Linked DNA regions of Cricetulus griseus. The protein of the gene in region 2 purifies or fractionates together with the protein of the main gene of each other region. This does not show direct contact. Links are inferred from orthologs where the notes say so. Each region holds a gene or a part of one and is shown on either strand. Other genes may lie near its edges.

Region 1 (3,409 bases), on a different chromosome or scaffold from region 2:
CTACCTTCCTACCTCCCTGGCTTGGCATCCTCAGCAGAGTGATGTCTTTGTCTTTGGTAAGGCAGCATGACATATGGACTCTGAGAACGGGAGGATGGGAAAGCGCTACCTTCGAGGTGTACACACTCTTGTCAACACACTTCAGCACTACATGAATTAGAGCAGTTTTGTTTAGCTTTGGGGGACATAATTTTTTCCTAGTAGATTGGATTCCTCATGGATCCAGCTCCCTTATTCTCGGCATGATTAGAAATCATTGGGCCACTTAGCAAGCAGCTTTGCTGTTTAGGGAATTATGTGGGTATGACTGCATATGGTAACAGCTTGTAGTTAAAGTAATAAGTATCCAGTAATTGTCACAGCACACAGTAACTTGCTTATCCTACCTTACAAAAGGAAACTGGTGCTCTGGGTGGTGAACTTGTCCATATCTCGAGGAACTAAGATTCATGCAAATCCAGGACTGGCATATCAAAGCCTAAGGTTTTTGTTGTTCTTTTCTCTCCTAAGACAGGGTCTTTCTATGTAGCTCTGGCTGTTCTAGAGCTTATTATTTAAATCAGGCTGGCCTTGAACTCAGATAGATCCTCCTGCCTCTGCCTCCTGCATGCTAGTATTAAAGGCGTGCTTGACTGTGGACAGCCTGAAGTGTATGTTCTTAACCATGGTAACATGCTGTTTCTTCAACAGGTGATGAGAATGGATCTGTCTCTCTTGTGGACACCAAGAATGCAAGCAGTACCCTCAGCTCAGCTGTGCACTCCCAGTGTGTCACTAGGCTGGTATTCTCTCCACACAGGTACTGTTTGTCATCAGGGGTTTGGAAGGGATGGGTTGGGCCAGTGGTGAGGGGTAGGAATGGAGTGATAAGGAATGTATCTATTGGCACAGCATTAGCTGGTTACATTGTTCCTTAGATGGAACAATGTAAGTACTCGAGCTTGGTCTTCCTAAGCTAGTCAGTACAGTTCTTATTAGGGTTGCATAGTCTAAAAACAGCTGAAATGTGATCTCATACCTGTTCAACACAGCTTGATTGATGTTAGGCTTCTGGCACCATGTGCTTAAGGAGCCTGATTCTGGGTAATTGCTAATGTAGAGAGGGACCCATTGGGTAGTTGGTTACCAGGGTGGTTTCTATGAGTACTGTCTCTGTTCCATTTTTATTGGAATTATAATGGCAGGAAGACCTTAACCCAAAGGTGGGTATCAGGCTGCCTTTTCCCCTGGCTCAGTTTATGGTGAGTTTGGGGCTGGTGCAGTCAGATTTTGGTTATGGAATCTAGGCTTTATCTTCTCTCCCCTTTGTTCCCTCTCCTAGTGCTCCCTTTCTGGCCTCTCTCAGTGAAGACTGCTCAATTGCTGTGCTGGATTCAAGCCTTTCTGAGGTGTAAGTTTGAAGTAGAACCCTGTGGTTAGGAATCAGGCATCAAGACCAATGGGCAAGCAGGTCTGTTTTGTCTTCAGGAACTTGCATGTAGAATTCTTCCTTTGTTGGGACTGGAGAAAAGCTCAGTAGTTAAGAATACTTCCTTTTGTTCCCAGCTTCCACATCCGTCTGCTCCCAGCTGTCTGTCACTCCAGATCGAAGGCATGTGATGCCTCTGCTTCTGTGGGCCTCTGCACTTGGGTGCACATACCCACTTACACATTATTAGAAATAAATAGAAGAAAATTCTCCATCTTTGTCTGTAGAGGTTCTCTCCATTTGTGTCTGTGTGTCTGCAGAGACTGAACACTGGAAGCAGTCTGATTGTAGGCTAAGTCTAGCTAGCATCCCAGCTTCACGGAGGGAACCCCTGCTGTGAAGTGAAACCTGCTATAGAGAGAAAGGCATGGGAAGGAAGACCCCGGTGTACATCTCTCTCTGCTATGACTTCCTGCTTGGTTGTAGATATACTACTTCTTTGCTCTGCATACTATTTCTTCCCCTAGGAAAGTAGACTGGATTGGATTGAACATCCACTGTCCTGGTGATAAGCTGTACAAATGGTGAAATGTTTAAAAACAATGTGTCCTGATTATGTTAGGTTTTCTTTCTGTCTTCTTCCCACCTCGGTTTTTGTGTTATCTCTTACCACACACCCACTTTTGTTCCAGGTTTAGAAGTCGAGCCCACAGAGACTTCGTGAGAGATGCTACGTGGTCTCCACTTAACCACTCCCTCCTTACCACAGTTGGCTGGGACCATCAAGTCATCCACCATGTTGTGCCCATTGAGCCTCTCCCAGCCCCTGGACCTGAGAATGCCTCAGAGTAGAATGGATTTCAGAAAAAAAAAAAAAAAATAGCCCTCCACCTGCAAGAATCTGCTTGCCTCTGCCTCCGTATTGTGAGAGCACAGGAAGGAGCCTTGTAGAGCATGTTACTCCCTAGTCCCGTGCAATAAACAGGCAGACTCTCAGCCTGAGGGAGGCTGCAGCCCATAGTGTCTAGGAGGGAAAACTTCCTTTATATAAATGGGTATATGTGTTCGAGAGAGCACATGTGTGTGAGTGTATTAAGTAGTTTGGGGTGGGGAAAATTATTCTTCAGCTTTCCCAAAGCACTGCTCTTTATTTCCCACAAAGTGAGAACAGTTTTATGCTTCCCAAGTCCAAGAATTGGATATGTTGTCTGGGATATGGAATGTGAGTATCCCTAGATTTGTGGGAGTGGTTCCACCACTCAGAGATGGGGTAACTTATTTTTATATAGAGTTTAATTCATTATGGGGAATACTTCAGTCCATAAAAGTCCAGCACAGTATACCTTGAGAAGACACAGAAATACCACAGTTTTGTACAAATCCATGTTAAACTGAATTTTCAGATCCATTTTCTTGGTGAATAAATTTGGCTGTTGCAATGTAGTTCTTGCTCACCCTTTGCCCTCCTCTGTGTTGTATGAGAGAGATGAGTGTTTTCCTGTCCTAGATTTCATAGAAAGTTTTAGGGATGATTGAACATTTAAAGGGGTTTCAGTGAAGTCAGAAAACTGACAGGGTTTCTTACAGAGAAATCTTTGTCATTTTTCCCACCTAAAGATACCCTGAGACCTGATTGCCTCTGGGCACCTTCCTCTGGAGATATGAAGTCTGAGTGCTGTATTTGTGAACTATTAAGATTTAAGATCCATCATTAGGGAAATTCTGAAATACTGAAATGTGAATTAAAGACTTGGGTCATGGCCTTTTCCCCCACCAAAGCTGTTGTTACTTTTTGTCTGCTTTACTTAGGTGAGTCACCAGGATGTTGTCAATTTTACTGCCGCTGTCTGTATTTTACCATTCCTGAAGTAGTTAGTTAAGGGAGAACTTAAACATTTATTTATACTTGGTGTTGGTGGTCTAGCCACTCCATTTAGAGTTCATGATAAATAACTGATTATATTGGAGCTGAGAGTGACTGGTGATAGATATACTTTGGAG
Region 2 (3,444 bases):
CAAGTATTAATATATTACTTTTGTATTTATGTGATACCTAGCTGAGGATGACCTTTAGTTTCTGATCCTCCCATTTCTACCTCTTGAGTGCTAGGATTATAGGCATATACAACCAGGCCTAGTTTATAAAATGCTAGGAACTAAACCCAGGGCTTCCTGTAGCTAGACCAGCACTCTAGCAACTAATCTACAGCCCCAGCCCCAGCATCACTTTATTACTTATTTATGTGTATGGGTGTATGTCTTTGCATGTTTATCTGAGTGCCCATGGAAACCAGAAGAGGTTGGCATTATAGCAGCAGTGAGCTGCCCGATAGATTTGGAGGAACTGGGCTCGGGTCCTCCAAAGAATAGCAAGTACTGGGCTGCAAAGATGGTTCGGCAGTTAAAAATACTTGATGCTCTTGTAGAGGACCTAGGGTCAATTCCCAGCACCCACATGGCAGTTCACAAGTGCCTGTTAACTCCAGTTCCAGTGGTAACAACACCCTCTTCAGACTTCCATGGGCACTAGGCATGCACGTTATACATGCATACACACAGGAAAAACACTCATACACATAAAATAATAATAAATCTGAATTTTTTCTCATTAATGGTTTTAGTCAAGAACAAAACCACAATGGTATAGAAAACCTAGATTTATTTGTTAACTATTACAAAGACAAAAACATCAAGAGTACTTTGCAGACTTCATTACAGATTACTTATTATGTTACAGAAAGCTACCAGGGCAGACAGTCAGGGCCTAAGCTGAAGAATGTAATAGAGCAACCGGAGAATGAAGAGGAGGGCAGAAGCTAGCACAGAAGGATTGTGTCCTGAGGTCCAGGTGTGGCTGAGATGTTCCCCAGAGATGACCTAGAGTCAGCCTGAAGTAAAGGACCCTTGGCTCTGTGGAAAAGGCTAAGCCCGCCCCCTCTGAGGCCTATACTCTCTCCTCAGCATCTTTCTCACCCAGTCTATACAGTGTGAGCTTTGTACATTTCACCTCATAGGCTTTCTGGCTGACAGATGTGCACACAGCAAAGGCAGGAATTAGAGGCCTACTTGGAAGACACCTAGACCCAGGAAGTTTGGGGGTAAATGAGAACCACAAATACCCGCTCAGTTAATTCACCTTTGTTGATAAAGGTCTCAGTCTCTTCTGCTGGTGACAGCTTGCTGTCTCATTATAGTCTGTCTTGCAAAGTAAGTTTTGGAGAAGGAAAAAGCCTTTCACCAGCCCCACTCTGGACTGGAAGAGGTACCAAGTTCTCGCCTACTGTTATAAGAGAATCTGAAAGACAAAAGGTTCATAGGTGTTATTACTAATAGCCATTGTTTAGCCTTGTAGGGTTCCAGACTGTTTCTCAGGCCTTGTAATAAGCCCCTCACTTGACAGATGAGAAAACCAAGGAATGGTTAAGTTATATATATGCCACATCCTGATGGTAGTGTGCACATACATGTCACCAGTGAAGCTGTGATTGCACGACATTCTGTACCCTATCTAATGCACCCAGAGGTCCATTATTTTGAAAGCAGTAATAGTTACATGAACATTTTCGTCCTTGTTCAGGCTTTAAAAGCACACACAATCTAAAATGATTAAAAAAATCACATTGTTTAGAAATCAGGTCAACTATTCAAATGAGCATGAATAAAATTTATGGATATAGTATTTCTTTGACATTGAGCAGAGAGAATAAACTGAGCAGAAAACAAACAGCCACTCATTAGAATATTCACAGCAACTTCACCATTACAAAGAATCCAAGAATCCCAGTGTGTAACCATTAGTGACATATCAATTGAGTTTCTCATGATAGCTGCAAACAGATTGATAATCTCTCAACAGTCAATTTTTCAAAGAAATATGGGAAAGCCACATTATATAAAATACTGTCTTCCAGGCAATACACTTACAAATGACAGCTACTGGCAAAAAAACAAACAAACCAACAAAACCTATCGAGACTGTGATGAGGGCTAGCTCAGAGGGCTATTTTCAGCAACTACATGATGACTCACAACCATCTATAAGGATCTGGTGCCTTCTTCTGGCCTTCAGGCAGAACACTGTATACATAATAAATAAATCTTTTCTTTTCTTTTGGTTTTTCAAGACAGGGTTTCTCTATGTAACTTTGGAGCCTGCCCTGGCATTCGCTCCATAGACCAGGCTGGCCTTAAACTCAGAGATTGGCCTGCCTCTGGGATTAAAGGCGTGCGTCACCACCACCACATGGCTATAATAAATAAATCTTAGTGTGATGAAGGGTGACAAAACTGGGAGCAGGTGGTTCTCCACGAAGTAGAAAGATGAAGTTAGTGACACCTGGGACTGTGAGAGCTGAACCTAGTCGAGCGCCAGTGAAAAGCCTCTGAGGTTAGAGAGGAGAATGCTGCTGCCTGCAGACTACATGAGAGAAGCAAAGATGCAAGAAAGGGAAATATTTATGGGATGAGATATAAATCACAGAAGCGCAAAATTTCTTTGAGATTATTATTATTTTTTGATAACCATACTAGAAGAAAACAGAGAACCAATGTTATAATTCATAGTTTTACAACTATAACAATTTATAAACACTGGAATTAAACAAAACATTGATGTGTAGATAGATGTGCATTCAGTGCCTGTGAAGGCCGGAAGAGAGCGTCAGATCCTCCTGGAACTGAATTGCAATGTGGGTCCTCTGCAAAAGAAGTACTGCTAACCAATAAGCCATCTCTACAGCCCAAACACTGGGATTTTAAAGGCTGGTTTCTAAAACAAAACAGTAGAAGAGTGAAAAGTTCAAATTTCCAAGTAAAAAAAAAAAGACAATTTTAAGGTTCAGAATGAAATCTACACCAGAACAAAGCAAGGAACAAAAGGGAATTTTCTCCTCCCCAGAGCTGAGGACTGACTGAACTGAAGGGTTGGAGCATGCTAGGCAAGTGCTCTGACACTGAATCACAATCACAGTAGGGGATAGTGAAGGTATAACTAGATGGGATAGTCAAAGCATAACTAGATGACTGATGGTAGTGGCAGCGTCAAGTCAAACTATACACATTTTGTCTTGTCTTGCTTTAATAAGATAAAAGGACTGGGACAACACTGGCTAACAGGCCGGGAAACAGCCAGTATTTAGAAGGAAGGAAGGACAACATTATTACAGGGAACAAAGAACAACAATTTTACAAAGAAAAGTTTTGCAGATAGTAAGAAAGGACTCTGCAGCTGCTAGTCCTTGACCTTCACTTATCTAACAAAGAACAGCCTAACTACTCACACCGGGAAAAGCCAATACATTTCTCAGGGTTTGCAGAGTAGCAAATACTCAGGGACAAACTTAAGACAAAGCTTACCAGAATGTGCCAGGAAACAAAACTGGCAGAGACTAGTATGTCAACCATGAAGGGCAGACAGGAAAGAACTCAGGGAAATAATGGCTTTTGGGTGACTGTACGTGG
Region 3 (4,179 bases), on a different chromosome or scaffold from region 2:
AAGAACACTGGAGAAATAGAAACCCCATTGGGAAAGGGTCAGCACACTTGGAAAAGATCAGCCATGTAGGCTGTACAAAGCCATGGATGCTGTGGGGCAGGCAGGGTTCCATGGAAATGGAGACAAGGAGGTGGGGTTGTGAACATACAGAAAGAGGAATCAGAAGAGCTTGGTAATTAACTCAGCCAACCATTTTTTAGAAGTTTGATTTCAACATCTTTGGGGATTATGATCCCACTTGGGCCCATTGGAGAACATAGGTTAAGGGAGGATAGTGAATTTCATTTCGGATACAATAAATTATGATACTTGATAATCAAAAGATGAGGACTTCATGGAAGTGGTGGGGGCTATAGGCTAGAGACAAAACTGGGAAGTTGTTGGTGTACAGACATAGGTTAGGAAGCATAGAAGCAGTAGAGCTCTTGTGAGAGCTTCTGGCCCCATCTTAAATTTAAATGTCTTAGTGCAGGCTGACACAATTGCCAGTGAACTTGGTGGGGGGGGTACAAGTATGCTATACAAACAGAAACATGAAAGTAGAATGGTGTTCAAGGGGGTGGGGTGCAGGCAGTATTCAGTGGATTCAGGAACAGGGATGGCAGGTGTCTTAAGAGCTGGTGGAGTGGAGGTTCCAGGAGCCAGATCAGAACAGGAAATTAGATGGAGACATTAACTTGCTGATAGCAAGTGGCCACTGCTTGTAGGTGACTCTGAAAAGGTGTGCTTGGAGCTGAAGAGCCTAGAGAAACAGTGCCGAGGAGAGTTTCTCATGGGGTGTGACTTGAAGAAAGAAAGTTACCTTTTAGAAGCCCTTGAAGCCATTCTGATCCCTGCCTTTCTTACTGCAGGGTTATTTGAGGATTTATTTAGTGATATATCCTCCCCAACCTCCATCCCTCATCTTCTATTTTGGTTTCCAGACCACTGCTGTCTTTGAATTCAGGTCCTTTTTACCCAGCTTAGGCTGTTACAAAGTCTAAAGATAGCATTTTGGCCTAATTGTGCTTTCCATGATGACGAAATTCCTTGACCAGTACAGTAGCAGTTAGTCTCACACAGCCCTGGACACAGGGAATGCCCTGACATGTGTCATGACCTTCAGTTTTATCCCATGCCTGATACTGTTTTAAACTTAAATAGGTCTGTATTGTGAGTAGACTGGGCAGTGCAGATTCACACAGTGCTTCTTAGTTGATACAGTGTGAGAGCTAACGAGGGGTTCTGTAGATGGTGATAGAAATGGCTTCTTAGTAACATACTTATTTCCGTTTTGAAGCCCTTCCTCATTTGGGTTTTGTATAGAAGATCTAAAAAACTGTATACCTCCTTACATTTCAATGCCTATACAATGTCCTGTTTAACCCTAAATACAGGCTGTGTTTAGTTTTTAATATCATTTTCAAGAAATACTAATGGAATCCTTTCTTGAAATAGCTACTTTGTCAAAATTTTGAATTTTAGTGCTACATTTCTGATAATTTTTCTCTTGGCAACTTTCTTTAAATGAAGATGTAGATTTTTGGAGACGTGTATTTCTAAAAAAAAAAAAAAATGACATTGAATTGACCTTAGTTTTTTGTGTATGTATACAATGTAATGCATATATTTATGCATCTTATGATATTCATGGAACTGTGTGATAGGTACTTTTGTCTACATTTTTATAGATAAGAAACCTAGGTAATTAGAGGGAAGGGAAAAAGTCCTTGCTGAGTGATGTGTGGTATAAATGGTAGTGTGGGATTTGAACCTAAGTAGTTTGGGCTGAACATACTGCCCTTCAAGTTAGCCCACTAACTGCTACTGTTCAACTTTCAGTTTTATATAGATCCATTTAAGCTGCTACCACTGCAGAGGTTTCTGCCTCGTCCTCCCGGTGAGAAAGGACCTCCCAGAGGCGGTGGTGGCGGTGGCAGGGGAGGTCGAGGAGGAGGAAGAGGAGGTGGTGGCCGAGGTGGTGGAAGAGGTGGTAAGTTATTTTGGGTTTCTAATAAGGTTTTGTAGCCATGTGTGATTTATACAGTGCAGTTTAGTTTTGCATGTAACCAGACTTCCCTTACCCTTATTTCTTTTACATATTGTCCATATCCATAGAAGTGCTTTGTTTCCACAGCTTAAGTAGGAGAAAAAATTAACTTTACCTTTGCAAGATTTCAGAGCCTTGGGTTATTTGTGTTTTAATGGAGATATTAATAGAGGCAGTCACCCATTGCTAAATGGCAGATACATTCTGAGAAATGCAGTGTTGGACATTTTTGTCGTGTACATTGACATAGATCCTCTTGTAGAGCTTGATTACTCAGCATGGCTTCTTAGTGTGGTGGAGAGTGGTAAGATGGAGGCTGATGCTGGTGAGATGGGGCAGGCTGCTTTCTGATCAGCCTTGTGAAAGGTTGTACTGACTATAGAAAGGGAAGTAAAGACACAAACTGGAAACAGTTGTTTTTAACTATTGTCAGGCATTGGGTGCTGTACACAACTATATATGCTGTACTCTTAGATGCCTAGGCTTATGTATTCCAATAGTGCTGTGAGCGTGCAAGTGATGGCTTGATCTACAATATGAGACAGTAGTTTTCCAGGTCCATTTTAATTTTAGGAGACTGATGTGTTATGCATGAAACATTATTATGTACTATATGACTGTGTAAGAATTTAACTTAATTGCGGTTTCTTAGTTATCAGCGAGTATTTTGATTATTCTTTTAATTTCTCCCAACGGCCTCCATGTGTGTGCCGTGGTAACACATACAAAAAGTAAATGTGAAAAACAGAAAAAGTAGTCATCTTGAGTTTACTCTACTGCTTCACTTGGGAACCTGCTAGTTCTTCATCTTTTAAAAGTTTCTGTAAAATACAATAGATGAACTTATAGTTTTTATAATTATAGGAATTGCACAATTTTTACAGCTTATCAGAAAATGAGAGGCTGTCATTATTTAACTCGTATTTCCTTTTTAAGGTGGCTTTAGAGGTGGAAGAGGTGGAGGTGGGGGCTTCAGAGGAGGAAGAGGAGGTGGTGGATTCCGAGGTGAGTAGGAGGATTTAAATAACTGCATTTGTAGATCGGTACTGTTGATTCCTTTCATGTTTTATTTCCCTCCCTACAAATATGGCAGACATTGGGGTGTTTGGGGCTTTAACTTACTTTATGGCTCCATTCTCTAACATTCTTTATTGATTTCTCTTAATATTTCACCAAATTACTTTGTATTAATACTGTGAAAAACAAAAAAAAATGAATATTATGAATAGCAATTGTGTTTGGTAATGTAAATGTATCAAACATTACAGGATCCTGTTGATGTTAAACCTGAGATTTGGGTACTAGCTCTGTTACAAGCCTTGATTTTTCCTTTGATCAGGAAGAGGACATTAGATGTGGCAGTTCCAAGACCTCACCACTTGTGTTTTTGCTTCGTGATCTGCTTCTGCTGGGATTGAAGTCTGTGTCTGGAGCAACCTGGAGGATGCTGCTGTGTCAGTGGAGCTGAATCGTCAGCATTGGGTAGAAACAAGTGGGGCTGAACAGGCAATGTTGCTCAGAAAGAGCATGAAGAACCCTGCTTTGTACAGTACCTGGCACTCTGTGGGTGCTTAAAGAACAACGGGACTTTTCATTTGAAGCACACTTGGCTTTTTTTAAATAAAATTTTTTATTTCTTTAACTTACTGTTTATTGAACCAAACCTGTTTTTTGAAATTTGGAGGAACAAGCAAAGCTTAAACTCATTGGATTACAGATAGAAAAAGTGGGGTACCATATATAAGCAAATGAACAACCCTCCTCTATCCCCAACAAACCAGACTGTCTTGGAACAGTACTTTAAAATTATTTCGAAATGAACTCCTCATTCAGAATGCCCTTTGAATAGGGACAGAACAGCAATGTTTGCTGTATTTCACTTTTGTGTTTTATAATACACAGAATAAAGCCGTTTTAGGAACTATAGTTTATAATTATTTTTAAATTATTATTTTGAGTCTATTAAGATTTGAGTAGCTCTGTTCGTGTTTTTACATGAGTTACTTATCTTCATTTTTTTTTTTAATTTATTTTATATGCATTGGTGTGAGGGTGTTAGATGCCCTGGCAGTCAAGTTACAGACAGTTGTGAGCTGCCATGTGGGTGCTGGGAATTGAAACCCAGTCCTCTGGAAGAGCAGCCAATGCTC

What was found.
Region 1: the proteins of Clns1a (region 2) and Wdr77 purify together in Homo sapiens (affinity purification with mass spectrometry; 6 studies listed by BioGRID and IntAct, with this or other methods). This does not show direct contact. The link is inferred for Cricetulus griseus from reciprocal best matches to the Homo sapiens genes CLNS1A and WDR77.
Region 3: the proteins of Clns1a (region 2) and H/ACA ribonucleoprotein complex subunit 1 purify together in Homo sapiens (affinity purification with mass spectrometry; 3 studies listed by BioGRID and IntAct, counting the BioPlex papers as one, with this or other methods). This does not show direct contact. The link is inferred for Cricetulus griseus from reciprocal best matches to the Homo sapiens genes CLNS1A and GAR1.

The regions. Positions count from the first base shown.
Region 1 is NW_023276806.1:51,042,285-51,045,693, reverse strand, and holds the end of Wdr77 (methylosome protein 50), read left to right. Parts: coding exon 1-56; intron 57-690; coding exon 691-799; intron 800-1,321; coding exon 1,322-1,390; exon of another isoform or gene 1,391-1,450; intron 1,451-1,545; exon of another isoform or gene 1,546-1,682; intron 1,683-2,100; coding exon 2,101-2,260; 3' UTR 2,261-2,851; downstream 2,852-3,409. UniProt on the Homo sapiens protein: Non-catalytic component of the methylosome complex, composed of PRMT5, WDR77 and CLNS1A, which modifies specific arginines to dimethylarginines in several spliceosomal Sm proteins and histones.
Region 2 is NC_048596.1:101,779,398-101,782,841, forward strand, and holds the end of Clns1a (methylosome subunit pICln), read right to left. Parts: intron 1,280-3,444; coding exon 1,173-1,279; 3' UTR 626-1,172; downstream 1-625. UniProt on the Homo sapiens protein: Involved in both the assembly of spliceosomal snRNPs and the methylation of Sm proteins.
Region 3 is NW_023276806.1:29,079,186-29,083,364, forward strand, and holds the end of H/ACA ribonucleoprotein complex subunit 1, read left to right. Parts: intron 1-1,821; coding exon 1,822-1,972; intron 1,973-2,965; coding exon 2,966-3,034; intron 3,035-3,368; coding exon 3,369-3,382; 3' UTR 3,383-3,676; downstream 3,677-4,179. Other genes in the region: visual pigment-like receptor peropsin, read left to right, coding at 4,174-4,179. UniProt on the Homo sapiens protein: Required for ribosome biogenesis and telomere maintenance. Part of the H/ACA small nucleolar ribonucleoprotein (H/ACA snoRNP) complex, which catalyzes pseudouridylation of rRNA.